7 linked regions of the Rattus norvegicus genome follow. The protein of the gene in region 1 purifies or fractionates together with the protein of each later gene. This does not show direct contact. Links are inferred from orthologs where the notes say so. Each region holds a gene or a part of one and is shown in the gene's direction. Other genes may lie near its edges.

Region 1 (4,073 bases):
AATTGTTCTGTTCCTCAGTGGATTCCGATGAAAAGTGGTAACAAAATCAGATATAACTCTAAGAGAAGCCACTGGAGGAGAATGGAGCTGGGTTCATAAGCATTCACACAATGGCAAGACTGAGGGTTTATACTGAACTGAGATCATCGATCAGTCCTACCAGATGGATTTCAACAATTTTAACCTGGAGACTTGCTTGCATCTAAATTAGGGTGTTTGTTCAGTAATAACATTTAGAACCTTTCAAAAAAAAAAAAACTACTACACATGACAAAATGTAGACTTTGCTAAGAAGGATGAGAACTCTCCCATCTTGCAGGATGGTCTTTGTACTTAAAACTGTCCCCCAGAGAAGTTGTGATCAACATATTGATTATTGAAGTTGCCTGGCAGTCAGTTTCTGTCCAAATTTTCTCACAAAATTGAATGTTTAGATAGCCATAGAATAAATCCTGCTTCCTCTTAACTGTGGTGAGTTTGTTACAAGTTAAGTGATTATTTAAATAGGATGAGAAGTCAAACTATTTGTCCCGTGTCCGGGAGGGTACAAACACTTTAACATATTTTTCTGTAAACAGTGTTTTGTTTTGTTTTTAAATGTTAATTTCTGTCCAATGTTAATTCTCTTTTAGTTTGCTAAACTTCTGCCTGATAGAGAGGGCTTTTTGTTGTTTTAAATTCTACTGTGCAGCCAGCGCTGAAAACTACTATGAGTGTCCCAAAGGAGGTGTGTGGATCGGGAGTTTTGATTAGAGCCTAAACCTGGAACAATCAAGGGATTATCTGCATTGAAGCAAATTTCTGAACAAACGGCAAAGACCTTAAAGGGGTTCCCACTATGAGTGTCCCAAAGGAGGTGTGTGGATCGGGAGTTTTGATTAGAGCCTAAACCTGGAACAATCAAGGGATTATCTGCATAGAAGCAAATTTCTGAGCAAACGGCAAAGACCTTAAAGGGGTTCCCACTTGTCCGCGTATACACCGTTAAGGATCCTTTGGAGCTTGCTGGGTACTAGGCAACCCAGAGTAGCGGACCTTCAAGGCACTAGAGCTCGCTCCGCCCCTAGCCACGCCCAGCCACGCTCCTCTCACTTCTAGCCCCGCCCACCCCTGCTGTAGCCCAGGCCAACTTTGCCTTAGGCACTCGCTTGCCGCGTCCACATAGCTCCGCCTCATATCAAGCCCCGCCCAAGTGCGCAGCCCTGCGTTCTCCCCGCCCCACCTGCGCGCCGCCGCTTTGCCACTCACTTCCTCTCGCGAGGACAACCTAGCGTCGGCGCCGGAAGCTTCCTCTGAGCGCGGAGGGCGGAGTGAGAGGGCGGGGAAGGCAGCTGGCTAGGAGTAGGCCGAGTTTGAGAGTCTGGCAGGTACCGCTGCTGGCAGGGCTTTGCGCCAAAGCTTTGTGGCCGGGTGCTCCGACGGCCTTCACGAGAGCGTCGTTGCAGGGCCGCACCCATGCTGCGCTTTCCGACCTGTTTCCCATCCTTTCGGGTGGTGGGAGAGAAGCAACTGCCGCAAGAGATTATTTTCTTGGCCTGGTCACCCAAGCGAGACCTCATTGCTTTGGCCAACACTACAGGCGAGGTAAGTGAGCTGGTGAGAGTTTGCCTATGCTGGGACTCTCGAGCCTCAGTTTCCCCTTTCGCAGACATGTTGAATCACATATCTATCCTGTCCCTACATCTCAGCGTGGCTGTTCACTTGAAGAGAAAGTGTAAAGGACCGTGCCTGCCAAACATGGTGTATATTCCATTTCCTGTATGGCCAGAAGAACAAATTCCCTCAAAGTTCTGCACACACAGGTCTCCATGAATTGATTTGGCCAGGGATGCAACATCAGACCCCGCCCAATTGGCTTTCAGATGAGTAGAGAATGAAGATGAACTGTCAGGTCCAACTAGAAATGTGTGTGTGTGCACGCGCAGTTGCTACGGAGGATGTTTGGTTTTGAATTTTTATATTTTTGTTACATCTAGCTATTTAAAAGATCTTTAAGTTGAGAGGCTGTGCTTCACAGAATTGCAGACAGAATGTGTATGAACATCGTCAATTAGCATTTCTAACATTAGAAACGTGAACACTCAGTATCAAGTATAACCAGAACATACCCAACTTTTTGTGGGGGAAAATTATTACCTGGCAGCCATCTTGAAAGGAACCCTTCAGCTGTGCCATTTAACATCTCACCTATGTAAAACTAGGTGGTAAGGAAGTCCTAGCATCCAGGGCAGTTTCGTGTGCCAAATTGCATTATCGTGTTGTGTGTCATGATGGCTCTGTCTCTAAGATCCATGGCTGGTGACAAAGCTAAGAGCAGTCATGGTTGTTATTTTACTATGTCACAGCTACCTTTTGATATTGTTTCTGTTACTTCTTTTGTTTGTCATCTGGGACAGCCTTCTTAACCTTTTCAAAAAAGTAAGCTTAAAAGATATGAAAGGGGCTGGAGACGAGCTCAGCCATCCAGAGCACATGCTGTTCTTAGTGATGACCTGGGCTTGGTTCATAGCACCCACATGGGTACTCGCACCTGTCAGTAGCTCCAGTTCCAGGGAGAACTGATGCCCTCTTCTGGCCTCCTTGGGCACTGGCTGCACAAATGTGATATAAATATATACATGTACACACGTGTACTTTTAAAAAAAATGAAGGCCGGACAGATGACTCAGTGGTTAAGAGCACTGACTGCTCTCCCAGAGGTCCTGAGTTCAAATTCCAGCAACCATATGGTGGCTCACAACCATCTGTAATGAGATCGATGCCCTCTTCTGGTGTGTCTGAAGACACCTACAGTGTACTTAAAAAATGAAAATATGTAGAGTGCAGGTCTGAGTTGTGCCCTCTGAGTTCATCCATTTCTTTGAAAATGTCTTACATTCATTTGGACACAGTTGCTTTGTGGACAGCTAAATACTCAAAAGTGGTAATTAAAGTTTGTGTTCTGGGGGTCTAGGTTCATTTTATTTCTGCAGATGAGTTTCTGCTATTACATCTTTTCGTCTTAGGTTTTACTGCATCGCCTTGCAAGTTTTCATCGCGTCTGGAGTTTTCCACCAAATGAAAGTACAGGAAAAGAAGTGACCTGCTTGGCCTGGAGACCAGATGGCAAACGTATGATAATGCTACGAATGTGTATCTTTTATTTTCAAAAAGGATATTCTAAAAAGAATACATTTTTCTTGGCACATTTTAGAATTATGGTTTTGTTTCTGTTATATAGGTCTTACCACACAACCCCGACTGACCTAGGACTTGCTGTGTAAACCAGGCTGCACTAGAACTTACAGAGACTCACCTGCCTCTGCCTCCCCCGTGCTAGGCTTAAGAACATGTGTTACCTACCATACCTGGCCCTATATTAGAATTGTAAATACTAGTTTGAGACTTTTTCTTTTTAGAATGTTTAAAATATTTTTCGTGAAAGTCTGTTGTTGGCAAGGATAACTCTTTATCAAGCCCTGGCTTTGTGGCAGATAGGATCGCAGTCTGACACAGTTATAGACCACTTGGCTTTGGTTCTCTCTGCTCTCTTGTCCTACATCATTTGACCCAAGTACCGTTCACCACTCATGGGTCAGTTCAGTGCCATCACAGCCCTTTTCTCCCCCAAATTCAGTTGGCACTAAATGTGAGGTTCATAAATTTTCTCTATGTAAGGCAGTTTACCACTCCCGAGAAACCTCCCACTGGGACTCCATTTCCCACAGGTCTTTTCCTGCTGTTGTTGTTCAGATCATTCATCTTGCATGGGTGTGTGTGGGGGTTGCATGCGTGTGTCCAAGTGGGTGTGGGTGGGTATGTGATTTGTTTAGTTTTTTAAATTGATAGTTTTTTGAGCAGTTATTCCAAGTGTTAGAATAGTAAAATGCTATGGGCTACAGCTTGTGGTCTGTAAGTCACATAGGGCTCTGAATAACAATGAATGTGGCCCATGGCCCAACACAATTTTTTTTTAAATATTTATTTATTTATTTATTTTGTGTATGTAAGAACGCTGTCTCTATCTTCAGACACACCAGAAGAGGCCATCTGATCCCATTGCAGATGGTTGTGAGCCACCAAGTGGTTGCTGG
Region 2 (4,178 bases), on another chromosome or scaffold:
TTTTGTAAAACTTAAAAAAGCAAATCTAGCCTTTGGCATGGAGAGTACCTTAACTATGTTAGCTATGATAGTGTGGACTAATGCTGTCACCATCAGCCACTACACAGGACAGGAAGGCCTAAGGAACTGTCCCCTACCTCCCCACAGGAGGAAACAGCATCAGCAGATACACATTCTAAAGGGACATGCATCTGTTTATAAATCTCTAACCCATTTTAGTTTGACAACCTCCTTAACTGATCGCTGAGGACGGCACAGTGAAAGACAAGAAGCAGGGACAAAAATTACCTAAAAATGGCGCTGCATTCCAATGAATGAATATAATTCATGAATGAAACGAAGATAATTCGTTTCATCGTATCACTAAGCTACAGCCTTTAAGAGTAGGTGTAAATAGTTAGATAATTAAAGCCATTGATCTTTGACTTACAAAATATAAATACAAAATAAATGCAAATGTTCGAAGAATTGTACAAAGAGCACCTACCCTGCTTTAATAAAGTAATACATTTTAAAACTCTAAATTGGCCTCAAGAAAGAGAACTCAAAAAGCCAGGCGAGGTGGTGCAGATCCTTAACTAGCAGGCAGAGGTAGGTCCATCTACAATGAGGCCAGCCTGGTCGACCAGAGCAACAAAGGAGAGCCGGTGCTAGTTGGAGAGAAAGGGGATCGCTTTGAGCAATAAGTGTACAGTTTATAAATGAAAACTCTGTAACCCCACGATTCTGTGAAGTACAAAAGCCCTTTCCAATCAATCCATTCACGGTCAAGTGTCTCCGCGTAAAGCGTTGTTATCGAACTGCTCTTTCAAAACTTTCACTCGACTTGAAAGCGTTCCGCAATTCGCCTGCATCAGGGGTTCCCGCACCTTTCCTACGAACATTACGAGGGAACCCTGCGGACTTCACGCTGAGTGGCTAATGCTAAGGCCTGGTCCTACACCCGTAGCAGCAGGGTTCCTCCCCGGGAGCGAAGCAACCCGCCCTCCCGCTGGCCGTAGCACCTGGCCGGTCAGCTCAGAGCCCCATAGGGAGGAGACGGAGGAACCCAGGGACGCAGCGGCCGGACAGCAGTGGGCGTGCAGTGGAGGCCCCCGCGGTAGGTGGGCCGCAACGAACTGCGGCCCCGGGCCATGCGGCCAGAAGGTTAGCGGCACCACGGTGGCCAGGGCCGCAAACGCACAACAAGCCGCAGCTCGCCCGTCTTAGGGGCATGCGGTCGGTTACGGAGCGCGCCCCCGGCAGAGCGCGCCCCGGGGCCTGCCCGCCGTTCCTCTGACCGGGAACGCGCGCACGTCACAATAAATCGACGTTCGTCCCGCCCCCTACAGCAGCGAATGGACTCACCTACATACGGGGTATGAGAGCGCCGTGCGTCACGTGACCCGGAAGAAGGGCGGGGCCCGGAGGAAGCCGACGCGCGCTCTGTGGGTAAGGGTTTTTCGCGCCCGCCGCCCGGGTTTCTGAGAGTAGCCAAGCGTTCGCCCTCGACTTCAGAGTCGTTCAGCGCTTCCAGAAGCGCAGGCCGGTACTCTCAACCGACCTTCAGAGCCACTTCTTTACTGCACGCTGTGCGGAGTGGAACGGAGCACCCATGGCGACGCTCGACCTCCCCCTTGCACTTCCGCACGTAGTAGCTCCAGCACTCGAACCGGAAACGGCTGCAGCGGGTGGTTCTGCGTCTAGTGACCCAAGATGGTGGCCTGCGAAGGCCAATTTTAGTATCGGCCCCCGTGCTTTTAGCTTAGAAATACATTTACAAAGCTGTGATTGTGAAAATACATAAAACGTGAGTATGTCTCATAGGACGTACGCATCTAATATCTAGAAAGAGATGTCTGGACAAAAAAACTCCTGTTGTCACATATTGTGCTCAGAGATCAAGACAATCTGAGAGCTGAGAATTTATCTGGAGGACCGGGCATAGTAAGAGAAGAGTACAAAAAGTTTAAGAAACCTAGAGAGGTTATGCTGTGTCGTAAGGGTTTGGGGCATTGCCTGTGCTTGCTTTTCCCAGGGGGAGCACCCGATCACCTGACCCAGGAAAATAGATGTAGACTTCAAAGCCCTGCCGCGGTTCCTGTTGTTTAGAAGGACGAGCAAGCATAACTGATGAAGTACAGTGGGTGGGTAAAAAGCAAGCCGGTTTGTAGGCATGTGGGAGAGGGTCGTGTTAAAAAACATTGAGGCCGGGCTCAGGGAGTTAAAAAATCATGAGGCCAGGCTCAGAGAGATGGCTCAGGGGTTAAAAACACTGTCTACTCTTCTAGAGGTCCTGAGTTCAATTCCCAGCAACCACATGGTGGCTCACAACCATCTGTAATGAGATCTGGTGCCCTCTTCTGGTCTGCAGGCATACATGCAGGCAGAGAGCTGTATGATATATACATAATAAATAATTAAAAAACAAACAAACAAACATTGAGGCCAGCTTGTTGAAAGATTGGGAATCACCGCATTACCACTGGAGACAGTAGGACTCTGCCAGTCAATCACAAAGCTGACCTAACTTGTTTCATAGATCATTTAATGTGAGCAACAAAGCATTCAAGGACAAAGAGCCTGCTAAAAAACTGGAAGGAAGTCAGAACACTTTAGAAAAGGATGCAGTCTGTATAGGACTGGGAAAATCAGTACAGGAAAGAATGAAATGTAGCCCAAGACACAGCTATAAAAACAAAAGATTGACAGGAAAGGGGAGGAAACTTGTCAAGCCCTAGAGGAGTGACTAGAAGTGGCTCTTCAGCTAGCTTTGCATTATCCACTAGCTAGGGTCTGGTTAAGTCTGAGGAAAACTGCTAAGCCATCACCTGGTTTTCACTCAGCAGGAGGAGCTGACCACCTTTGGCTTCAGTGTTTGTATGCGGGTGTGTGGTGTGTCTGTGTGCATGAGCAGACAAAAAAGGTGTGGTTTCTGCCTACAGGTGGAGTCGTAGATGAGTGTAGAGGTCAGAGGTCAACGTCTGTGTCTTCCTTTATTACTTTGAATCTTAAACTAAACCTGGAACTTTCTGATTCAACTAGACTGCCTGGCAGCCTCCCGGAGGACACAAGTGTGTGCCATCGTGCCAGGCTTTTTACGTGGGTGCCAGCAATCTGAAGTCAGGTCCCTTGTTTGCACAGCAAGCACTTCAGTCCACTGAACCTCCTTCTGGGCCCCATCTTGTTTAATTTTTTAAAGTGAAAGCCCTTTCCCTCCTGCAGACTCGGTAGATAGTGCTAGCTTTGCCTTTACACCATTGGAGACAAGCACATAGCCGTATGGCAAAGTTTGTTTCTTGCTTGAGTCTCCCTTCTCTCAGAAACAGCAGTTCCTGAGAGAGCTACTGGTGCTAACCCTTAGGACCTTTCCTTGGGTTGCCACTTTGTGGCAAGAAGCACAATAGGCTGTGTCTGTGATAAGGAACAAACTTGGAAGCCAGAAACCCAAAAAGCACTGCTTGACGACCAGTCTTTTGAGTTAGACTGCAACAGTTTGAGGAGAAACATGTGAAGCAGTCTGTGGTCAGGGGCCTAAGCAAGCATCCTGAGCCTTTGGAACAGACACTGAGGAAAGCCAACAAGACGGCCTAGTGGCTTACAGGCAACCTGAGTTCAATCTCTGGGACCCACTTGATGGAAGAAGAGAACCAAAATCGCCACGTTGTCCTTTGACTTCCACATGTACATACACAAATAAACAGGGTTTTTTTTTTTTTTTTTCAAGAAGGATGAAGGCTGGATGTTGGGATCGCAGCACAAAGATCCCTGCACCCACAAATATCCAGGGAAAATGTTAAACGTGCAGGATTGTTTTTCCAATGGTAAGATGTAAAACCTGTTCTTCTATCCAAAGAGCTGGGAATTGGAAGTGATTAACAGTCCTGTAATCTGAGTGATCTGTTGGGCCAGACCACATCAGGCTCCTACAGCCAGGGCGAAGGTCGCTGATAGCCCAGGTGAACTCTCTTGCTGTATGACTGAGACCTTCCTTGGACCCCAGTACCTATCTCTAGAACCCGCCTTCTTGGAAGGAATGTCGTGGACCCTAAGTGCAGTTTTAATGTAATTACACTTTCTTGTGCACCAGAAATTGTTATACCAGGAAACTCTTTTTCAAATCATACCAGTTTAAGTCCGTTAGAAATAAACCTCCTGGCATCAAACTCCCCAAGTCTAAGCCAGACTGGTGAAATTTC
Region 3 (4,164 bases), on another chromosome or scaffold:
TGATCCTATAACATGACTCATCAGAGGGGCACAGTCGTGTACACCTGATTCTAGTACCAGGGAGGAGGCAGAAGCAGTGTGAGGTCACAGGCAAGAGTGTAGTGGAAAGATGAGAATGTGGTTCAGTGGCAGAACAGTTGCCTAGCATGCAAAAAACCCTGGGTTGGATTCCTAGCACTGTTAAAAAAGGGGGGGAGGGGGTGTGTGATTTTCAACTTGCATCTTACCAGACGTTATATTAATATTTCCTGCTTCAATGCCGGCTTTGAGTCCTTCTTTTCCCAAAATCCCAGACTCTCCTTTGGCCAGGCGTTCCCGCTCTTTCTCTTCCAAGCTTCCATAATAGATGTGTGGTTTCTTCACAACAGGAGCAACTAAATCGTCAGGTGCTTTAGTTTTGGTTGTCTGTTAAATCAAAGACCCCGATTAAGGTTTGGTCCTAGCAAACCATGCTTTCCAAAAGAATGAAGGAAATGCTGAGCCTTCATTTTATTTCCTCTCACAACTAGGACAAAGTCGAAAGTGACTTTGCGCCGAGCTCACGCTCTCGTTAAATTTGGCACACAATTACAATTAAACAATTTCTGTCTGATATGTCTTGGTTTGTTTTGGGGCCTGTTACTTTAATCTATTCGAAATGCAATCTCCGATTTTACGAAAATAACTTCTCGCCACTGGACATACACCCAAAACAACCCAAACAATTCGGCGCACCAAGTCACAATGTTACTGGAATACACATTTCAAATACTTTCAGAGCCTATTAGAAGTTGGGAGGCCTCATAAGTACCAGTCGTACAGCTTACGTCAAGACACTGCCCGATTTCAAAGAACTGTGCTTTGGAGCAGTCAGAAAAAGTGTTGTTCACTGCTCAGGGCTTAAGTAAGAGCAGTGCAAAAAGAGCTGCAGTTTAGGCGTTTAGAAATCAGGAAAAGGCTGCTAAGGTCCACACCACGGTCCCCCAGCCTTCCTCCTCCTCCTCCTCTGCCCGGACCCGTAAGGTAACGGCCCTTTCCCACGGGGACCGCGTCCTCCCTAGGAGAGGATAAGCATGAACTTAGATGCGGAACTCCGTACCGTGGAGGAGGCTCGTGAGGAGGCCATGCCGGGCTCTGGAGCCGCGAGGCCCTAGCCAAATCCCGTTCTGCTTTTCAGACCGGGAACCGCGCGCCTAGCAAAGTGGAAGTGCGTCACTGGCCGGAAATGTACCAGTTCGTGCTCTAGGAGTCGCGAAGTATCTTGGGAGTGGTAGTTGCCAAGTGTCGGCTGTCATCGATGGGCGTGGCCTTATAGAGCGGCACAACCTCTCGGGAGAAGAGGCGCGTGGGAAAAAAAGGCGCAGAGCAACTTGGGAAGTGTAGTTCGGGCTGCGTAGCAATGGAGTCAAGGTGGGAGTTGAGGTTCTGGGAAGCTTCAGAGGCCTGAAAAGAGGTAAGTTTGCGAATCGCAAGTCTAATCTGGAACAAACCAAGGGTCTCTGCTCTCCTTCGGGAGGCCTTCCGTCATTTTGAAACCGAGGCCTGTGCTGCCATTGAAATCTCTCCCTAGACTTCTGCAGCATTGGAGCTGGGAAAGAGGACTGTTGTTCACGACGGAAGTTCTCCGGGGGCCCCTGGTAACTGGGTGGCTACGAAGTGATTTTGTGCTTTAAGAAGACATTAAACTCGAAGAGCCTTCTAAGGCTAAAATAGAGATGTGGTGGAGGAGCTGCGGCCTAGTTTGTTGTTGTTTTACTTGTCTACAGCCTGTTCTTTTTATATGTTCTTTGAAATAAAGGGTCCAGGGAGGCGCCAGATAAAGTGTATACCAGCAGCTGCAGTTGCAATGATTGCTAGGCCGTCAGAGATATTTTTTTTTTAAACCCTTACATGAAAGTTGCGGGGATTGCAAAATATTCGCGTTTGCTGAGCTGAACAGACTCATTCTCACTCTTAAGCCTCTTTCTTCCCCGAACAACTCCAGTTAGAAGAGCACTTCCACTTCGAGGGCTTACTAAATGCCACGTTACGCGCAAGGAGCTTATTCTATCTTAGTTATTTAAGTCGCGGGACAACAAGAGTAAAGATCAGAAAATAAATTCTGGTGAGAAAAGGTAATCCGTCGTTCTGGAGCCACAGTGTAGTAGGGTTAGTAATGTGGCGGGTGGACTGCCGCGCTTTTAACCCGTACTCACTGTTGCTCTCTAGTGGTGAGGCTTTCAGTTCATACCCAAGTAGGAAATTATTTTTCTTAAGTATTTCTTCCCTTTCTCTTTGGAGCTGGCTTCCATTTCTCTACTTAGGGATCTGGTAGAAGGTAGTATCTGATAGAATAAAGCAGTTTGAATTGTCACAGGCCAGTGTTTTGTGTTGACCATATGGCCCCTTGAGATGTGATATAATGTGACACTCCTGAGAGAAGTGTAAGAAGTGTAAATGTTTCGTATACATCGTAGTCTTTTGTTTCATTCTGCTAGCATGCAATAATAATTTATATGGATGCACACTATATCGGAACTTTTTTTTTGCGGAACTTTCACGAAGATCATTATCACAACTTTTTATTCTAGTGGTCTATGAGTAACTTTTATAGGAGGCTATTTTGTTTTTTTTTTGGAAGACAGGGTTTCTCTGTGTAGCCCTGGATGCCCTGGAACATGTTCTGTAGACCAGGCTGACCTCAAACTTACAGAGATCTGCTTGCCTCTGCCTTCAGAGTGCTGGGATTAAAGGTGTGTGCCACCACCACCCGGCTTCTGAATTTGTTAATTAAACTGTTTGCTTCAACTTTATAAAACTGGAATAATTTTTCAAGCTTCCCAAGGCTTCTGTATTAAAGTAATATAAAGAATGGGAATGTGGGTTGGTTCAGTCGTAAAGGAGCCCATGCTAAGTGTGGTGTCCTACATAGTAGATGGAGAGAACCAACTCCCAGACATTGTCCTCTGACCTCTGCCTGTGGGCTATGTGCTTTCACCAGCACCCAACAAATAAATAGAACAAACTTTTTTTTAAGAGGCAAAAACTTTTGAGTTATCAAAGTGAGAAGAAAAACCAATAATGGGAGAGTCTAGAATTTAAGAAAAGTTAGTTTCACTTTCTCTATTTTTTATGGCTCAGTTTACTTTGTTGTGGATGCTGTGGAGGACATAGAGACAATACCTTCAACAGATACTAAAGTCAGCTTAGGTTTTCTTTTTTTCTTTTTCTTTTTTTCGGAGCTGGGGACCGAACCCAGGGCCTTGCGCTTGCTAGGCAAGTGCTCTACCACTGAGCTAAATCCCCAACCCCTTAGGTTTTCTTCTTAACTTTTGATTGATTCTTTGTGAACATCACATCATCCACCCCAGTCCCACTCATCTCCCTGTCCCTTTGCATCTGCCCTTGCAACCTCCCCCCTACAATAAGAAAATAAGATAGAATAAACAAAAATTTGTCATGGACTCTGTAGCACATCATGGTGTATCATGGAGTATACCCGTTTGTCCACACACCTAAACTTATAAATGCTCATTCAGTGCAATGAGTCATGGGCCTGTTTTAGGGCCTCTGGCTTTTGCTACACTATACTGGAACCTCACTAGGACTCCTCTCAGATATGTTGTTGCCCTGTGTCATGGAGATGTGACCCTGCAGCTTGTGCAGATCATAGATGGGGTAGATGCTGGGGTGGGCCAACTCAGAGCCCTGGATTTGGTCCTGGGAGGTAGCTGAGTTGATCAGCCTGCCACCTGTATCTGCACCATCCGGGTGAACTCTCCAACACTGCTCCAGCTAGTTTACCCAGTGCCACAGCTGGCAAGGGGGAGTGTCAGCTCTCCTGTTCTCAGGTCTTCAGGGACTACCTCATCCACGCCTTTCACCGGGGCTAGCTCTACTGCTGCCCAGGTGAGTTGCAGGGCCCACTCTACCGGGTGCTGCCAGCTCAAGTGTTTGTTCTGAAACAAACATGGGCTTTGTTAACACAAACCTTCATTCTCCATATGAACTTCTCTGACCTTAAGTCTGTCTGCCTACCCTTCAAATTCACTAAGACACCTTTTCCCATAGGGAATTGAGATCCCTAGCCACTCTTAGGCAGCCCACCCTCGGCTAGATGCTCATGCAGTGCTGTTGAAGGACCCTCCTTAGAGTTCTGTTTTTGCCCTAGATTGGCATGGTCTGTTGTGTTGTGTTTTCCCCACA
Region 4 (3,237 bases), on another chromosome or scaffold:
CTATGGTTTGTTTTTTTCTTCATGAGTGAGATATCAGTTTGCAATGAGTGCAGGGCCCAGGGAGATCTGAAGAGGTCGTCAGATATCCTGGAACTAAGGTTGAGTCACCTGGTTTTTTAATAGAAAACCAGCCCTTGGCAAAAGCAGCAAATGTTCTTTATAGCTAAAACCATCACTCCAGCCCAGTATGAATCATTTCCCAAAAAGAAATTGGGGGAAAGAATCTGAAATACCTTTCGTTTAATAAAATGAATTACATTTATTTAGAATGACTTACTGAATTGGGGATGATGACTTTACGCTCCCATGATGTAGCATGTTTCATGAAGTCTCTTTTCTTCAAGGTTGATACTCCCTCTCCAAGCCCAATGGAAACATCTGGATGTGCACCTGCCGAAGAATATCTGTGTCAGGCTTTCTCCGATGTGATTCTTGCAGTGAGTGATGTAGATGCAGACGATGGTGGTGATCCAAACCTCTGTAGTGAATATGTGAAAGATATCTATGCTTACCTCAGACAACTGGAGGTCAGTATTGTCATTAGCGTCTGCCTTTACTAACTGCAGCTACCCTAAGCCCTTACTCTTGCTATTTAAGATCCTCCTGGATCAGTATTCCTGGTGCTGGAATTAAAGGGAGATGCTGCACTATACCTGGTTTATCCCTTTATGTTATTTACTAACTAATTTAAAGGCTAGCCTGGAACTCACAGAGATCCTTCTGCCTCACTGGTGCTGGGATTAAAGTTCTGTGACATTCAATTCAGCTGTCAAAGAAATTTTTACTAACAGCGCACCTGACAATTTTTGACAATGAATACTATTTGTTACACTCAGAGCACTGTTGTTAGTTTTGAAACACTAAAAATAAAGTCACTAACCCCGTGAAGTGGACTTGCCACTTTGAATATAAAATGTCAGTGTTGGGAGATACCTTCCTAAAATAGACATACCATAGAGAGGGGGAAGTCCTACATGTGTGTGGTTCGAGAACGGGTTGGATGGTGCTAACAGACACTCGCTGTCCCACACAAGGCATTTTGTATCAGTGTGCGCTCGATTCTCTATCCAAGGTGGAAGTTGTTGGTCCCATCACCTCCACCTACTTGGAAAACTTTCTATCAATGGGACTTGCCCTTTTATCTTTTAAACAAGACATTCTATATAGTTCATGCAGTTTGATCAGGTTTAGACCCTCCCTGTCCCCCCAGTCCTAGGGACAGTCCTTGTGCGTGCTAATCAAGTACTTTGCCACTCAACTATATCCTAGCATTGTCTTCTCAGGTTGTCATTAGTTTTTTGGGTTTTTTGTTTGTTTGTTTGTTTGTTTTTTTATTTTTTAGTCTCTTTTGTAATAGTGTTTCCAAGTGTTGTTGTATGGGTGGGCACATAGAGGGGGTCAAATGACAACTTCCAGGGGTTGATTGATTGCCTTGTGAAGTGGCAGCAGTACATGCCTTTAATCCCATCACTGAGGAGGCAAAGGGAGGAGGCTAGCCTGATCTACATAGTTCCAAAACAGCCAGGGCTACACAAAGAAACACTGTCTTGAGAAACAAAAAGACAAAAGAATTGGTTCTCCTTCTGCCTTTATGTGGGTCCTGGAGTGAATTAAAATTCAATTTAAGGGCTGGAGAGATGGCTCAGTGGTTAAGAGCACTGACTGCTCTTCCAGAGGTCCTGAGTTCAAATCCCAGCAACCACATGGTGGCTCACAACCATCTGTAATGAGATCTGATGCCCTCTTCTGGTGTGTCTGAAGACAGCTACAGTGTACTCATATGCATAAAATAAATAAATCTTTAAAAAAAAAAATTCAATTTAAGTCAGCAGGCCTTTCCCCATGAAGCCATTTTGCTGACACCCATTCTTTGTAGCTAGTGTCTGTATTTTCTAAAGTAATGTTTAGTAAGATTCCTGGTTCCAAACTAGCTGTCTTCCTTTTTCCTTGTTAATACTTTTTTTTGTTGTGTTCTAACACTGCAGAACTGGGTTTCGTATTTGCGCTATGTTGGGTGTTTTGAGTGTATAACTTAGATCAGCTTTCCAGCAGAGTGAAAAGATCTGAGATGAGGATGGGTACAGGGTATAAGCTGCAGTCATTCTGGTTAACCGAATATCAACAATATGAAGAACCTGTTATGACTAACCTAAACCTTGCTTTCTTGGTGAACTTCTGTCCCAAGAGCTACTTGTTTTGTGTTAGTTGACTGGCCTTTGTGGACACAAACGTTATATGGCAGGATTGTTCTAGAATAACTGGCATTTTCTTTTACAGGAAGAGCAGTCAGTTAGACCAAAATACCTACTGGGTCGTGAAGTCACTGGAAACATGAGAGCCATCCTAATCGACTGGCTAATACAGGTTCAGATGAAATTTCGGCTGCTGCAGGAGACCATGTACATGACTGTGTCCATTATCGATCGGTTCATGCAGGTATGTGTGCTCCAGCCATTTGCAGTTGGTTCTCCGGTTGTCTTCTCTGAGAGTCTCAGAGGAGGGGGAGCAGGCCCTGAAGGTAGGCAGGAAACTTACCTGCTGAGCCTGAAACACCCTTTTCTTGGGAAGTCAGGTGTATCAGTTGAGAGGTTCGAGGACAGACTGAACTTGCCATTGCAGGACAGTTGTGTGCCCAAGAAGATGCTGCAGCTGGTTGGTGTAACTGCCATGTTTATTGCAAGCAAATACGAGGAGATGTACCCTCCAGAGATCGGTGACTTCGCTTTTGTGACTAACAACACTTACACCAAGCACCAGATCAGACAGATGGAGATGAAGATTCTGAGAGTTCTGAACTTCAGTCTGGGTCGCCCTCTGCCTCTGCACTTCCTCCGTAGAGCATCTAAAATTGGAGAGGTACAGACTTCTGGAGGAATTTTTTTCTTTTCTTTTTTTGTTTTTTTTTTTTTTTTGTTGTTTTTTGTTTGTTTGTTTGTTTTGTTTTGCCACATGAGAAAATACAGCTGCTAACATTTAAAAATAAGGCTGATGACCTAACTACATATCGTGTGGTTACTTTGAGAGTTTAGTCCCAGGCCTTTGTCAGTTACTGCTAACGGCTTAGAGTGGTGTGTGGGTCGTCTGTTCCAGGTCGATGTGGAGCAGCATACTTTGGCCAAATACCTCATGGAGCTCTCCATGCTGGACTACGACATGGTGCATTTTGCCCCTTCTCAAATTGCAGCTGGGGCTTTTTGCTTAGCCCTGAAAATCCTTGACAACGGTGAATGGGTAAGC
Region 5 (3,500 bases), on another chromosome or scaffold:
TTAAAAGTTTACTAGGCTATATTTCAAACTGATGTACCACAAAAGAGAAGTTATAAATTCCACAGAAACGGTTACTTTCCCTGAACAAGTAAATTCTGAAAGTAATGTAAGGACAAAATTGAGAGTATTGTCAGTGCGGCTGGGCTTGCAGGCAGAGTCTTTTATACCATCACTGAGAGGCCCATGGGTCCCTGTGAGTGTGAGGCCAGCCTGAACTGCATAGCAAGTTCCAGAACAGCCAGAGCTAAGCAGTGAGACCCCATTTAAAAAAAAAAAAAAAGTTGAAAGGAAAAGAGCTAGTTAATGAGTTTGCATTTATTCATAACAGGCTGCTAGTCTCACAGCAGCAGTTTTACTATTAGCCCATGTCAGTGTTCATTAATGCAACCTACGACGGCCATATGATGCAACTAGAAACCAGGCTCTGCCTCTCTGACAGCCACATGTCACTGCCACATAGTTCTGGGCCAGCAGCCACCATCTCAGGTTGCGTGTACCACTTTCCTTAGAAGGAAACGAGATGGTCTGGACATAAAGGATTTACAGGAACGTAGTATTCTCTAGTATTTTTCTGTTTAAAAAGTGTTTCAGTTTTCTGTTTAAAAAGTGTTGGGGATTGAAACTAGAGCATGAAATGTTTATAGCTTGTGCTCCCCCCACTGAGTCATAACCCAGCCTTCAACTTTTCCTAGCAAGTATGTCAGAACTAAGGGGGAAATGAGTAAAAACGACTCAGCACAATTCCCCTTGACCATAACAGAGGGAGTTGTGCTTTTATTAGTTTGGTTTTTTTGTTGTTGTTGGGTTTGTTTGGTTTTTTGTTTTTTGTTTGTTTTCTTTTTTCTTTTTTTTTTTGCATTTTGTTTTTTTTTTTTTGTTTTGTTTTTTTTTTTTTTTTTTTTTTTTTTGCATTTTGTTTTGTCCAATTGAGGGATCTTATGTATCCCAGCCTGGCCTTGAAATTGCTATAATCAAAGATGACCTCCAACTTCTGGTTCTTCCACCTCTGCCTCCCAGGTACAAGAATCTTACTTCTGGGCCACCATGCCTTGTTTATGTGGCGCTGGAACTAAGCTTCCTCTATACTAGGCAGATACTCCTAAGTAAACAATATCCACAGCCCTGGAAAATTCATTTTAAAGATTGATTCAAAGCCAGCCGTGGTGGCACATGACCATAATCCCAGCACTTGGGAAGGTGACACAGTGGGGTTGCCTTGAATATCGCTCAGACCAGGTCAGGATAGATAGTAAGTTCCAGGCTAGCAAATTAAGACCTTCTCTATAAATAAATAAAGTCTTTTTTTTCAATGCTGAAATCTGTATAATATCAAGATTAGCCATTGTCCATTGTTATTGGAACAGGCTCTCGGCTATGTTTCCAGGTTACAAAATCCCTTGCCTCAGCCTCCTGTGTAACTAAAATGTCCCAGTACACACCACTACTCCTGTGTAAAGTCATTTGTTCAGTTAAATACTAGAATTCTGACCCAGTGAGAAACCACTAGCCCCATTATTGAAATTTTATCTAGTATTTTTAAATGGACATAAATAGCTTTTCAGTTACATTATTAGACACAACATGAAACTGATGGCTACCAAATTGGGCAGAACTAGAATATCAGAGAATTTCCAAGGTGCAGGTTCTAAGTGGCATAAACATGGTACTAACCAGTCTTAAAATATATACTGTAGAGTCTTCATAGGCTTCTGAGGCTGTGTTCTTGTTCTGAGTTTTGTGAGACATGTGTTCAGTACTGGGGTCCGGGTTTTCAGATGGGATGCAGAATTAAGCCCACAGATGCTCAGTTCATGAAGGACCATTGTTTCTGAGATTTGATCCTGAATTATTTTTGTTCCAGCTTTGGGGCGCCACCAAGTGTTGGATTTAGGTATGACATTTAGATGAAAAGATTAATGAGTTCTTAATGAACGTGCCAATATGAATTTCCTCACTGATTTCCCTTCCTTGGGAACAGAACACAGTGTTATTCTGGACTCCTACTTGGAAAACCTGATAAGCGAACTTGGTGGTGTGGCTTGGCTTGGTGAGGAGTGTATCCAAGACAAACTGTCCTGTGGAGTAGTAGTATTTTATCTGTGGTCCCATTTTTGCCTTGGCCCTGCCATATCTCCCTTCATAACTCAGGAATTATCCACATTCAATCCCAAGTGGCATAATTCGTTAATGGGTTAATGGGAGAAAATAGGGCTCTCTAACTAGGCAAGATTTCTTTTGGTTTTGGTTTTTGGTTTTTCAAGACAGGGTTTCTCTGTGTATCCCTAGCTGTCCTGGAACTCATTAGGTAGACCAGGCTGGCTTCCAGTTCTCACGTATCGGCCTGTTTCTAGCTCCTGGGATTAAAGGTGTGTCCCACCATACCCATTCAAGCTCTTCTTTTTTTTTTTTTTTTTTTTTTTTTTTTTTTTTTTTTTTGGTTCTTTTTTTCGGAGCTGGGGACCGAACCCAGGGCCTTGCGCTTCCTAGGCAAGCGCTCTACCACTGAGCTAAATCCCCCAACCCCACATTCAAGCTCTTCTTAAACATGATTTACTTGAAAACCTGCGTGACATTATAAAAGACTATATAAGGATGGAGGACAGGGAAAGCTGGTCCTACTGGGCCAGAATGAAGTGTCGTCCATCTGGCTTTATAAACTTGCCAATTGCTGTTTTTTTCCTCTAGTGAAGAGAGACTTCTACTGGAGGGAATGGCCGCCTCCTCATCCTCATCTTCAGCTGGTGGGGTCAGTGGAAGTTCTGTCCCTGGATCTGGTTTCAGTGTGTCCGACCTTGCCCCACCACGGAAAGCTCTGTTCACCTACCCGAAAGGAGCTGGAGAGATACTAGAAGGTGATCTCATGCTGTGTTTGCTGAATAATTGGCTTCAGACCTTCAATGCATGTAAAATGTAAAGGAGCTGGGGCTGGGGGCCCTTGAGTAACCTGACCAGGGTTGCCACTGGCTCTGGACCCTCTTGATCTCCTGCTCCAGGTGGTCTTGTAACGCCTGTTGATGTATCTTCTTTTTAGTGAGTATCTACCCCACCAGAGAGGCCTGAAGGGGAAATAAGAGTTAATGTATTTACCTCTGTGAAGGTGACTCTCATGGGCCACTGCCAGACATGGCTGTATGACCGCATGGTTTATAGCACTGGAGATAGATTTGCAGCCACCGTCTTAGCACACAGACTGGCTGGCCAGAAATAGGTCACGGGCAGCAGCCATGAAATGGTGTTAGTGACTGGAACGTATCGGATTCATGTTAGGTAAACTGGTGATTCATGGTAGAAGCATAAGACTCATGTGAGACACTGAACTTAAATATGTCTTGCCAGGCAGATGTCTCTAAGTTCTTCTTCATAGTGAGTTCCAGGCCAACTAGGGGTGTACAGTGAGACCCTCTTTCTTAAAAAGAGAGAGACAGAGACAGAGAGAGACAGACGGGGGGTGGGGGAGGGAAAAGAAAGGAAAGGAAAGGAAAGAAACAAAAGAAGCTAAA
Region 6 (4,009 bases), on another chromosome or scaffold:
GGGCTGCCCTTGGTTGTTCTTTCGAAGGTCCTGAGTTCAATTCTCAGCAACCACATTGGTGGTTCACAACATCTATAAAGGGATCTGATGCTCTCTTCTGACATGCAGCTGTACATGCAGACAGAACATTCGTGTGTGTGTGTGTGTGTGTGTGTGTGTGTGTGTGTGTGTGTGTTTCTGTCATGATTTTTCTTAGAATAAATGGACTTTCTTTCGCATCTGTTTCTTTAAGATTAAGTGAATAGGACTCAGTTGGTAAAGTGCCTGCTGCGTGCCTTGGATACTATTCTATTGCCGTGAGGAGACACCATGACCGAAGGCAACTTACAAAATAAAGCACTTAATTGGGGACTGCCTTGCAGTGTCAGAGGGTTAGCCCATGATCATCACAGTAGGAAGCAGGGCATCAGGCAGTCATGCTCTGGAGCAGTAGCTAAGGCCTTACATCTGATCTGAAAGGTGGAGGCAGAGAGGGAGTGAGACTGGGCGTGGTGTGGGCTTTTGAGACCTCGAAGCTCACCCATAGAGGTACACCTCCTCCGAGGCCACTCCTTCTAATCCTTCCTAAACAATCCACTAAGTGGGAACCAAACAGTCAACTATCCAAGCCTACGGGGCCATTCTCATTCAGGTCACCACCATACTACGGAAGCATGAGAATGTGAGTTTTAACCCAGTATCCATGTGAGTTCGTTCTCTCTCTCTCTCTCTCTCTCTCTCTCTCTCTCTCTCTCTCTCTCTCTCCTGGATTAAAAAAAAATGAAAACAAACCTTGAATCTCAAATCTAAACAAACATCTTCAGTTGTTTAAATTTTATTTGCATGTAGTTACTTATTTTGTGGGAGTGAAAGGCACATGCTGCTGTCTCAGAGGACAACGTGAAGGAGTCTGCTCTCTCCTTCCACCATGGTGGACACAGGGGGTCCAATTTAGAAAGCTAGCCTTGCTGATAAGTGCTTCTACTCTTAAGGTGCCCAGCTTTAACATTTGAAAGTTTGGGTTTCTTCGTTGGCAAGTAGGGAATGAATGACAATTCAGAGTATTTATCTATTTTAGGGGAGGCTTTTTCAGACACTGTTTCTCTATGTATCCCTAGCTGTCCTGGACTCTATAAACCATGTTGATGTCGAACTCACAGAGATTAGGCTGCCTCTGTCTCCCAAGCGCTGGGATCAAATCACCGCCCGGCCATAAGTTGTTATTTTTTTAATTTATTTTTATGATTATCATGCATTCCTGAATGTATGTCTGTATACCACATGCATGTATGTGCCCATGGACACCAGAAGGAGTCGGATGCCCTGGATCTGGTCTTACAGACTGTTGTGAGCCACCAGGTAGGTGCTAGGAACGGAATTCTTCTGCAAGAGAAGCATGCAGATTTAACTTCTGAGTCGGCTCTCCACCCTTTATGGGAATGGCTTCAGCGTTGCAGTTTGTGACTATGCAATGCAGTAACGAGTTCGTAAACGCTTGAGATGTTGACAGTGGAGCCATCAGAGATCCAGCTCACTCCTGGACCTATCCTTTCTTTGTACTTGGATTTAGCGGGCCACTTGAATTGGTAAACCATGACTTGTAGCAAGGAATCTACTCAGCGAGCGACAGGAACACAAGCCAGCAGATGAGGGGGCGTGGCACCTTCCCCTGGAGCGCACGCGTAGTGGAAAAAAGTCAGCCCTTGGGCGCCTGATTCAAAAATTCAATTTTAACTGTTAGTTTTCCGCCTCTGCTAGGTTTATGATGAACTCCTAAACATTGTTGCTAGCCTCTGAGAGGCGTCCATTCTTCTTGGGTTGTCTTTATCTCAGCAAAACCACTATTCCTACTCGGATATTCCTTCTAGCGTGGTCAGTCCTCAATAAAATTTATCCTTTAATGATGGGGCAACCCCTTTCGCCTCACGACTGCCTCTTTTTACGCAGGCACATCCGTAGCAACCTATATCTTCGGGGGGCGGAGCCGCGTCTGGACCAGAAGGACCCCGCCGCCGCCGCCATTTTGGAACTTTCCCTGAGACTCGGCTCCGCTCCTGGGGGTTCTGTCAGCTGCTGCTGGGTCACGGTGTCGCCGGGCAGGATGAGTGTGATAGATCATGTGCGGGACATGGCGGCCGCTGGGCTGCACTCCAACGTGCGGCTCCTCAGCAGCTTGCTGCTGACCATGAGTAATAACAACCCGTGAGTGGAGGCGGGGAGCGGCGGTCTGGGAGCCGGGGCTGAGATAGTGGAGGACGCTGTGGTCCGGCTGAGGCTGCGCGGATAGCGAGGGCCTCTTCCGGTGGTCTCGGAGGACTGGCTATTTCCAGAACGACGCAGTCCTCTTGCTGCCTCCCGGAGACCCAGTCCACCCAGTCAGACATGGAGGTTCCGCTCTGGCGTAGGGAGGGAACCCCACTTTCGAGACTGGGAGCACCCTTGGCGAGCGTCGTGGCGCCTTTTTTTTAAAGGACTCTGGCAGCCTTTTGTAAGGCCCGACGCAGCCGCATTGTCGTGACTGGTTTGTTTTGGTTTGTTTACAAACAGGCTCTCCTGTAGCCCAGACGAGCCCGCAACAGACTGTGTAGTCGAGGAAGACCTTGCTCCCAGAAGCTGGGATCGCTGGTTTTTGCCCCACTGTGCTCGGTGTACGTGTGGTCCTGGGGTTCGAACCCGGGATTTCATGCGTGCTAGGCAAACCCTACCAACGGAGTTTACTGAGTCTAGACCGGTTTACTGAGTCTCAGTTGAAGCACGGGACAGTTGTGGCCTTGAGTGCCTGTTGGGCCTTGATAAAAATTCCCCATCATTGCTTCACCCTTCGACGTGGCTTCCCAAGTCAACCTATTCATTCCTTTCTTTGATTTCTCACCTTGCCCGAACTCTCAGTACAAGTTCATTCTCTCCGGGCATTGGCACCTGTGGCTTCACTTCAGAACTGCTTGCTTCCTGGTTCAGTTTTCAGCTCAGAAGCCTCTTCTTAAACGGACCTCCTAGCACCAGACCTTTCCACTTTGATCTTTCCCCTTCTCTCTTGCCATCTGTTGAAAGAGCAGTTTCCATGTGTGAGAAGCACTATTAAACTTAATGAAAGTGCGTGTCTATTACAAGGCAGTCCAATAGGTCGACCAAGATTATACTCCGGAGAACTTAGAGGAGCAAGTGGGTTTGAGTTCTGGTTGTCTGTGATTGGAGATAGTTTCTACTGCAGTCCACCACTGTGTATGTGTGTATATATACATATACATATATATATGTATATATACATATATATATATGTATATATGTATATATGTGTGTATATATATGTAAAATATTTACATATATATGTAAATATGTAGTTGTCTTCAGACACCAGAAGAGGGCATCAGATCCCATTACAGATGGTTGTGAGCCACCATGTGGTTTCTGGGATTTGAACTCAGGACCTCTGGAAGAGCACTCAGTGCTCTTAATCTCTGAGCCATCTCTCCAGCCCCGATCACCATCTTCTTAATGTGACACGGGACGCACTGGTCTCTGTCAGTCTTCTATGTTGATTCTGAGGCCTTTCCCCCTGGGTCTGAGTGATTCGTCATAGCAAATAGTATTGGGGATTAATGCTCTAATCTTTACTCTTGAGTCTTGACAGTGTGTTAGCATTGTCTGAATGCTCTTGAGTTTGCTTCTCTAGCTAGTCTGACTTTGGCTAATCCATGCTTGTTCACACTAGGTTAGATCATCAGTTTTCTTTAGCTACAGGAAGCATTTAAGTTCTGACCTGTATCCTTTATATTTTGTTATTTGTTGAAGAGACAGTGTATACACTGTTGAAAAAAGTTCAGTGGTAGAATTCTTACCTAAAATGTTTGAGACCATAGGTTTCATCTTCAGCACTGCCCAAATCGAAAATGGGCAAGTTGGTTGAACAATGTGTGTAATGTCACATAGGAAATTCAAAGAATGAAGGGTGTTTATGGAGTGGTTTGTTACAGCTTTCCTCTAGAGGTTAGAGTTGTACCTCAGACTTGGAGAGCCTCCCTGGCATGTA
Region 7 (3,990 bases), on another chromosome or scaffold:
GCACGTATAGTTGGGTCTTTATTTTAGTAAGGTTTTGTATTTCTCTCCCTCCCTCTCTCTCCCTCCTTCCCTCCGTGTGTGTGTGTGGGGGGGGTGGGGGTGGTTTGGTTTGGTTTGGTTTGGTTTGGTTTGGTTTGATTTTCAAGACAGGATTTCTTTGTGTAGCTGACCCGGAACTAGCTCTGCCCTCCAGGCTGGCCTTGAACTCACAAGAGATCCACCCGCCTGGTGAGTTGCCTGCATTAAAGGTTTAGCCACCGCCTCCTGGCTGCCCCGTTTTCTTATGCACACTTTTTCTACTCTTGAGACATCGTCTCACTAAATAGCTGACTTGGAACTAACTTGAACTCATGCAGTTCATTTTAAATGTAATATCTATTTGGGTCACTGGAACTTCATGGTGTACTATTTGATGTCACAACCAAGGATTAACAAAATAAATGGACATCTGAATTTCTTGTAATACACCACTTGGTACCAACAATAGCTCAAGTTGGCATTTTAAATTGACCCATCTTTATTAGAGGCGAGGAAAAGTTTACTGGAATACCAGGCATAGTGACACATGCCTTTAGTCCTAGAACAGAACTCATGAGACCGAGGCGGGTGGATTGTCAGTGAATCGCAGGACAACTGGGAGACCCTGCCTCAAAAACAACAAACAAAAAATATATACAGGAGAGGCGAAGCAGTAGTAAACAGTAAAAATATCAGTTTCCCTGTGTTGAATGGGCAGCACCACCGAGAGAGAGGAGCAGCTAGTCAGCTGGTAAGGGAGCGGCTAGTCAGCTGAGTCCATACAGTCCTGCCTAGGCGCCACCCAGCGACCAGGGGAAGTCGCTACACCCCTTAGCTGACAGGAATGCTGACACTCCGAGGCCCCGAGGGCTAGTCTGGTCCGCCCAGCTGCTCTGGTAGGATCCTGGGAGGTTACAGACCCACAGAGGATCGGAGAGTTGCGGAAGGCTGCCGCTTGCCCCGCCCTTCTCTGCGCAGGCGCGTCCCTCAGGCGCCCGCCCTGCCAGATTCCCGTCGGGCCTTTGCTCGCGGCGACCGGCGCTCCTGGTGACGTCACTGGCCCCGACCGCCCTCATTGGTCCATTTCAATAGTCGCGGGCTACTTGAACTACAAGAACAGCCGGCGGGCCGCGCGCGGCTCGCGGCACTTGGGCTCTGCGCTCCTCCCTCCCGCAGCGCCTGCTCCGTGCGTCGGCCGCCAGGGTCCCGCGCAGCCCGGGAGCGGCGGGCGCCTTGCACGCTCTGCCGCCGACGGATCCGGACCGGAGCCGCAATGCCGGGCAACTCGAGACAGGCGGGCTCGGCCCTGCTCTCCCAGCAGGAAGACCAGGAGAATGTCAACCCCGAAAAAGTGGCGCCAGCCCAGCAGCCGCGGGCGCAGGCGGTGCTGAAGGCCGGGAAGGTGCGGGGACCGGCGCCGCAGCAGAGGCTCAAGACTCGGCGGGTAAAAGGGCGCGGGGGTCTGTCGGAGGGCCGGGCGGAAGCGGTCTTGGGTTTACCAGCCCAGAGGGCCAAAAAGCATGCTGAGCTTTCTAGGGGTAGTCGGGCTGCAGCCTTTGCGGTCCGGGCGTTTTTAGTACCAAATAGCCCCACGAGCCCTGCGGACCCGTGTATACTGCCCTTCAGCACTAGTGGAGCGGTCTTCCTAAAAATTCTAGGGTCATACCAAGCAGTGCCCCGCGTGTCGACTTCGGCCATGTACCTTTCCCTCCACTTTTAAAGCCAGGCATTGCAGTAGGATATAGATCCCTTCCCCCTCACCATCTGCTTCACAGATTACTACTTAAGGGAAGGACATAAAGCAAGTATTCTGCTTGGTAAATTCCGCCATTTTAGCCAGACTTGCTGTTTTGCTCCACCCTGAGGCTAAAGTTGTGAATCAGTTCTTTCCCCTAACTTTAGTCTTTGATTAGTTTGGAATTCCAATCCGTTGCATTTATAGCCTTTGTAGAAATGGCTGTGACAAATCGGTTTACTCACCTTACCTGGACTTTGACTCATGAACTTACATTTTTCTTAAGAGTATTTGGAAATAAAAGTTGGTACCCACAGGGCAAGAAGCAAAGTATTAAAAAAGAATTCCTTCTCTTTAGGTTGCGCCTCTTAAGGACCTTCCTATAAACGATGAGCACGTCCCTACTGTTCCTTCATGGAAAGCAGTCAGTAAACAGCCTGCCTTCACCATTCATGTGGATGAAGCTGAAGAGACTCAGAAGAGGCCAGCTGAGCAAAAAGAAACTCAGTGTGAAGATGCCCTGGCTTTTAGTGCCGCTGTCTCTTTACCCGGAGCCAGAAAACCACTGGTACCTCTTGATTATCCAATGGATGGTAGTTTTGGTAAGGTTACTCTTTATTTTTACCAGTCCCTGTTTCTTCTTTCCTTCCCTCCTTGCTGTCTTTTTTTCCCCCTCTGAGTTTCTCGAGTATTCTTGACTGTCCTGAAACTCATACTCTATAAGACTAGGCTGGCCTTGAAATAAGAGATCCACCTACCTCTGCCTCCTGATTGCTGGGATTAAAGGCATGTGCTACCACACCAAACCTTTACCTTTTGAGACAGGATCTCAATCTGTAGCTCAGACTAACCTTGAACTCAAACCGTCCTGCCTCAGCCTCTCAAATTCTAGATTACAGGCCTGGCACCATCCGTACCTTGCTTGGCATACTCTAAAGATTGTTATTAAGCTAAAAAATTAGTTACTTAATTGGGTTAGTGATATTTTTGAGGTTTTTTTTAATTTTGCAAATTTCAGGTTTATTTACATTCAGTTTACGAATCAAAATGTCGTTTCAAATATATTTAAAATACGTAGCATTTTTAAAATTTTCACTCCAAATGTGTTCATCATAGCCATGACTAACGGATTTTACCACTGTACTTTAGCACTGATCGACTGCAGTCACCAAAAGTCCTGCGGTTGATATTTTTGAGTTTTAAGACTATGCTTACCTGCTCATAACACAGTGAGTTAAGATTACTACAGTGGGCTTAGAAAGGATCACAGATCCACTGACCTATAAAAGGACTCAAATCCTTAACCAGCAGGGAGGGCACTGCTGGACAAAGCTACATCAATTTTAATTAGATCTTAAATGCCTATCTTAATATGACTTTATAAGTGTTTGGCTGAGATAATAGATTTCAGTTTTATGTATGATTCACTTCTTAACATGCCAGTCCTAAGAGTGCTCCTTGAGCCTACAGTTTTAAGCATTATATCTGCCATTCCTTTAAAACTAATTTAAATGTTTGTCAGATTGCAGGTCAGACACATGGAAGGCAGAATAGCTGCTATAGACAGCTCTGCCGGTGCTATGATCTCACTGTGGAGACCAGAGATGTTGGTATCTGTCACTTTCTACCTTATGCTATATGTGTGCCAGGGGAAGGAGTATTACGCTTGCCTGTGCTGGTACATGTAGAGGCTAGAGAGAGTACTTGACTTTGGGGTATCTTCAATCACTTTTCTATATCATTTCTTAATCAAAGGTCTCATTGGGGCTCACTGATTTGGCTAGACAGCCTGGCCATCAAACTGCAGGGAACTGAGTATTTCAACCCTTTTTCTTCTTCCCGTCTAGGGTTGCAGACAATGCCACAACATCTAGCTTGAGTGGTGCTGGGAATGCAATGCACATCTTCATGCTTATCCAGCAGGCACTGCACTGCCATTTCCCAGCCCCCCAGTTCACTTAGTTCTACTGATGGGGTAGGAGGAGGGTATGGAAACTATTATTACACAGATTCCCCTATCTCAAGATAATTTAAATGGTAAAAACTAGAGCTGAGTATATTAATGCCCAATAGCACTCAGGAGGCTAAGGCAAGATTGTCAGCCTAGGTTACGGAGTGAATTTCAGGCCAGTCTGGCCCACAGAATGAGACCCTGTTTAACAAACACCAAGTCCCTTACAGATTATAGTTAGTCTGTTTGAACATGGTATGACAGACTTGATATCTTTACTAACATT

The links.
Region 2: the proteins of Anapc4 (region 1) and Anapc13 purify together in Homo sapiens (affinity purification with mass spectrometry; 9 studies listed by BioGRID and IntAct, counting the BioPlex papers as one, with this or other methods). This does not show direct contact. The link is inferred for Rattus norvegicus from reciprocal best matches to the Homo sapiens genes ANAPC4 and ANAPC13.
Region 3: the proteins of Anapc4 (region 1) and Cdc26 purify together in Homo sapiens (affinity purification with mass spectrometry; 11 studies listed by BioGRID and IntAct, with this or other methods). This does not show direct contact. The link is inferred for Rattus norvegicus from reciprocal best matches to the Homo sapiens genes ANAPC4 and CDC26.
Region 4: the proteins of Anapc4 (region 1) and Ccnb1 purify together in Homo sapiens (affinity purification with western blotting; 3 studies listed by BioGRID). This does not show direct contact. The link is inferred for Rattus norvegicus from reciprocal best matches to the Homo sapiens genes ANAPC4 and CCNB1.
Region 5: the proteins of Anapc4 (region 1) and Anapc16 purify together in Homo sapiens (co-immunoprecipitation; 10 studies listed by BioGRID and IntAct, with this or other methods). This does not show direct contact. The link is inferred for Rattus norvegicus from reciprocal best matches to the Homo sapiens genes ANAPC4 and ANAPC16.
Region 6: the proteins of Anapc4 (region 1) and Anapc7 purify together in Homo sapiens (affinity purification with western blotting; 14 studies listed by BioGRID and IntAct, with this or other methods). This does not show direct contact. The link is inferred for Rattus norvegicus from reciprocal best matches to the Homo sapiens genes ANAPC4 and ANAPC7.
Region 7: the proteins of Anapc4 (region 1) and Ccna2 purify together in Homo sapiens (affinity purification with western blotting; 3 studies listed by BioGRID). This does not show direct contact. The link is inferred for Rattus norvegicus from reciprocal best matches to the Homo sapiens genes ANAPC4 and CCNA2.

Annotation. Positions count from the first base shown.
Region 1 is NC_086032.1:62,367,773-62,371,845, reverse strand, and holds the start of Anapc4 (anaphase-promoting complex subunit 4), read left to right. Parts: upstream 1-1,273; 5' UTR 1,274-1,455; coding exon 1,456-1,584; intron 1,585-3,005; coding exon 3,006-3,111; intron 3,112-4,073. UniProt on the Homo sapiens protein: Component of the anaphase promoting complex/cyclosome (APC/C), a cell cycle-regulated E3 ubiquitin ligase that controls progression through mitosis and the G1 phase of the cell cycle.
Region 2 is NC_086026.1:112,083,027-112,087,204, forward strand, and holds the start of Anapc13 (anaphase-promoting complex subunit 13), read left to right. Parts: upstream 1-1,378; 5' UTR 1,379-1,431; exon of another isoform or gene 1,432-1,620; intron 1,621-1,649; exon of another isoform or gene 1,650-1,789; intron 1,790-3,711; exon of another isoform or gene 3,712-3,803; intron 3,804-4,178. UniProt on the Homo sapiens protein: Component of the anaphase promoting complex/cyclosome (APC/C), a cell cycle-regulated E3 ubiquitin ligase that controls progression through mitosis and the G1 phase of the cell cycle.
Region 3 is NC_086023.1:80,872,527-80,876,690, reverse strand, and holds the start of Cdc26 (anaphase-promoting complex subunit CDC26), read left to right. Parts: upstream 1-1,364; 5' UTR 1,365-1,432; intron 1,433-4,160; exon of another isoform or gene 4,161-4,164. Other genes in the region: Prpf4 (U4/U6 small nuclear ribonucleoprotein Prp4), read right to left, coding at 228-405, 1,079-1,105. UniProt on the Homo sapiens protein: Component of the anaphase promoting complex/cyclosome (APC/C), a cell cycle-regulated E3 ubiquitin ligase that controls progression through mitosis and the G1 phase of the cell cycle.
Region 4 is NC_086020.1:33,648,989-33,652,225, reverse strand, and holds part of Ccnb1 (G2/mitotic-specific cyclin-B1), read left to right. Parts: intron 1-344; coding exon 345-527; intron 528-2,277; coding exon 2,278-2,436; intron 2,437-2,619; coding exon 2,620-2,856; intron 2,857-3,090; coding exon 3,091-3,231; intron 3,232-3,237. UniProt on the Homo sapiens protein: Essential for the control of the cell cycle at the G2/M (mitosis) transition.
Region 5 is NC_086038.1:28,478,090-28,481,589, reverse strand, and holds part of Anapc16 (anaphase-promoting complex subunit 16), read left to right. Parts: intron 1-2,685; coding exon 2,686-2,852; intron 2,853-3,500. UniProt on the Homo sapiens protein: Component of the anaphase promoting complex/cyclosome (APC/C), a cell cycle-regulated E3 ubiquitin ligase that controls progression through mitosis and the G1 phase of the cell cycle.
Region 6 is NC_086030.1:39,818,815-39,822,823, reverse strand, and holds the start of Anapc7 (anaphase-promoting complex subunit 7), read left to right. Parts: upstream 1-1,209; 5' UTR 1,210-1,338; intron 1,339-1,924; exon of another isoform or gene 1,925-1,926; 5' UTR 1,927-2,080; coding exon 2,081-2,181; intron 2,182-2,197; exon of another isoform or gene 2,198-3,141; intron 3,142-3,303; exon of another isoform or gene 3,304-4,009. UniProt on the Homo sapiens protein: Component of the anaphase promoting complex/cyclosome (APC/C), a cell cycle-regulated E3 ubiquitin ligase that controls progression through mitosis and the G1 phase of the cell cycle.
Region 7 is NC_086020.1:121,358,897-121,362,886, reverse strand, and holds the start of Ccna2 (cyclin-A2), read left to right. Parts: upstream 1-1,190; 5' UTR 1,191-1,291; coding exon 1,292-1,462; intron 1,463-2,111; coding exon 2,112-2,355; intron 2,356-3,275; coding exon of another isoform or gene 3,276-3,363; intron 3,364-3,990. UniProt on the Homo sapiens protein: Cyclin which controls both the G1/S and the G2/M transition phases of the cell cycle. Functions through the formation of specific serine/threonine protein kinase holoenzyme complexes with the cyclin-dependent protein kinases CDK1 or CDK2.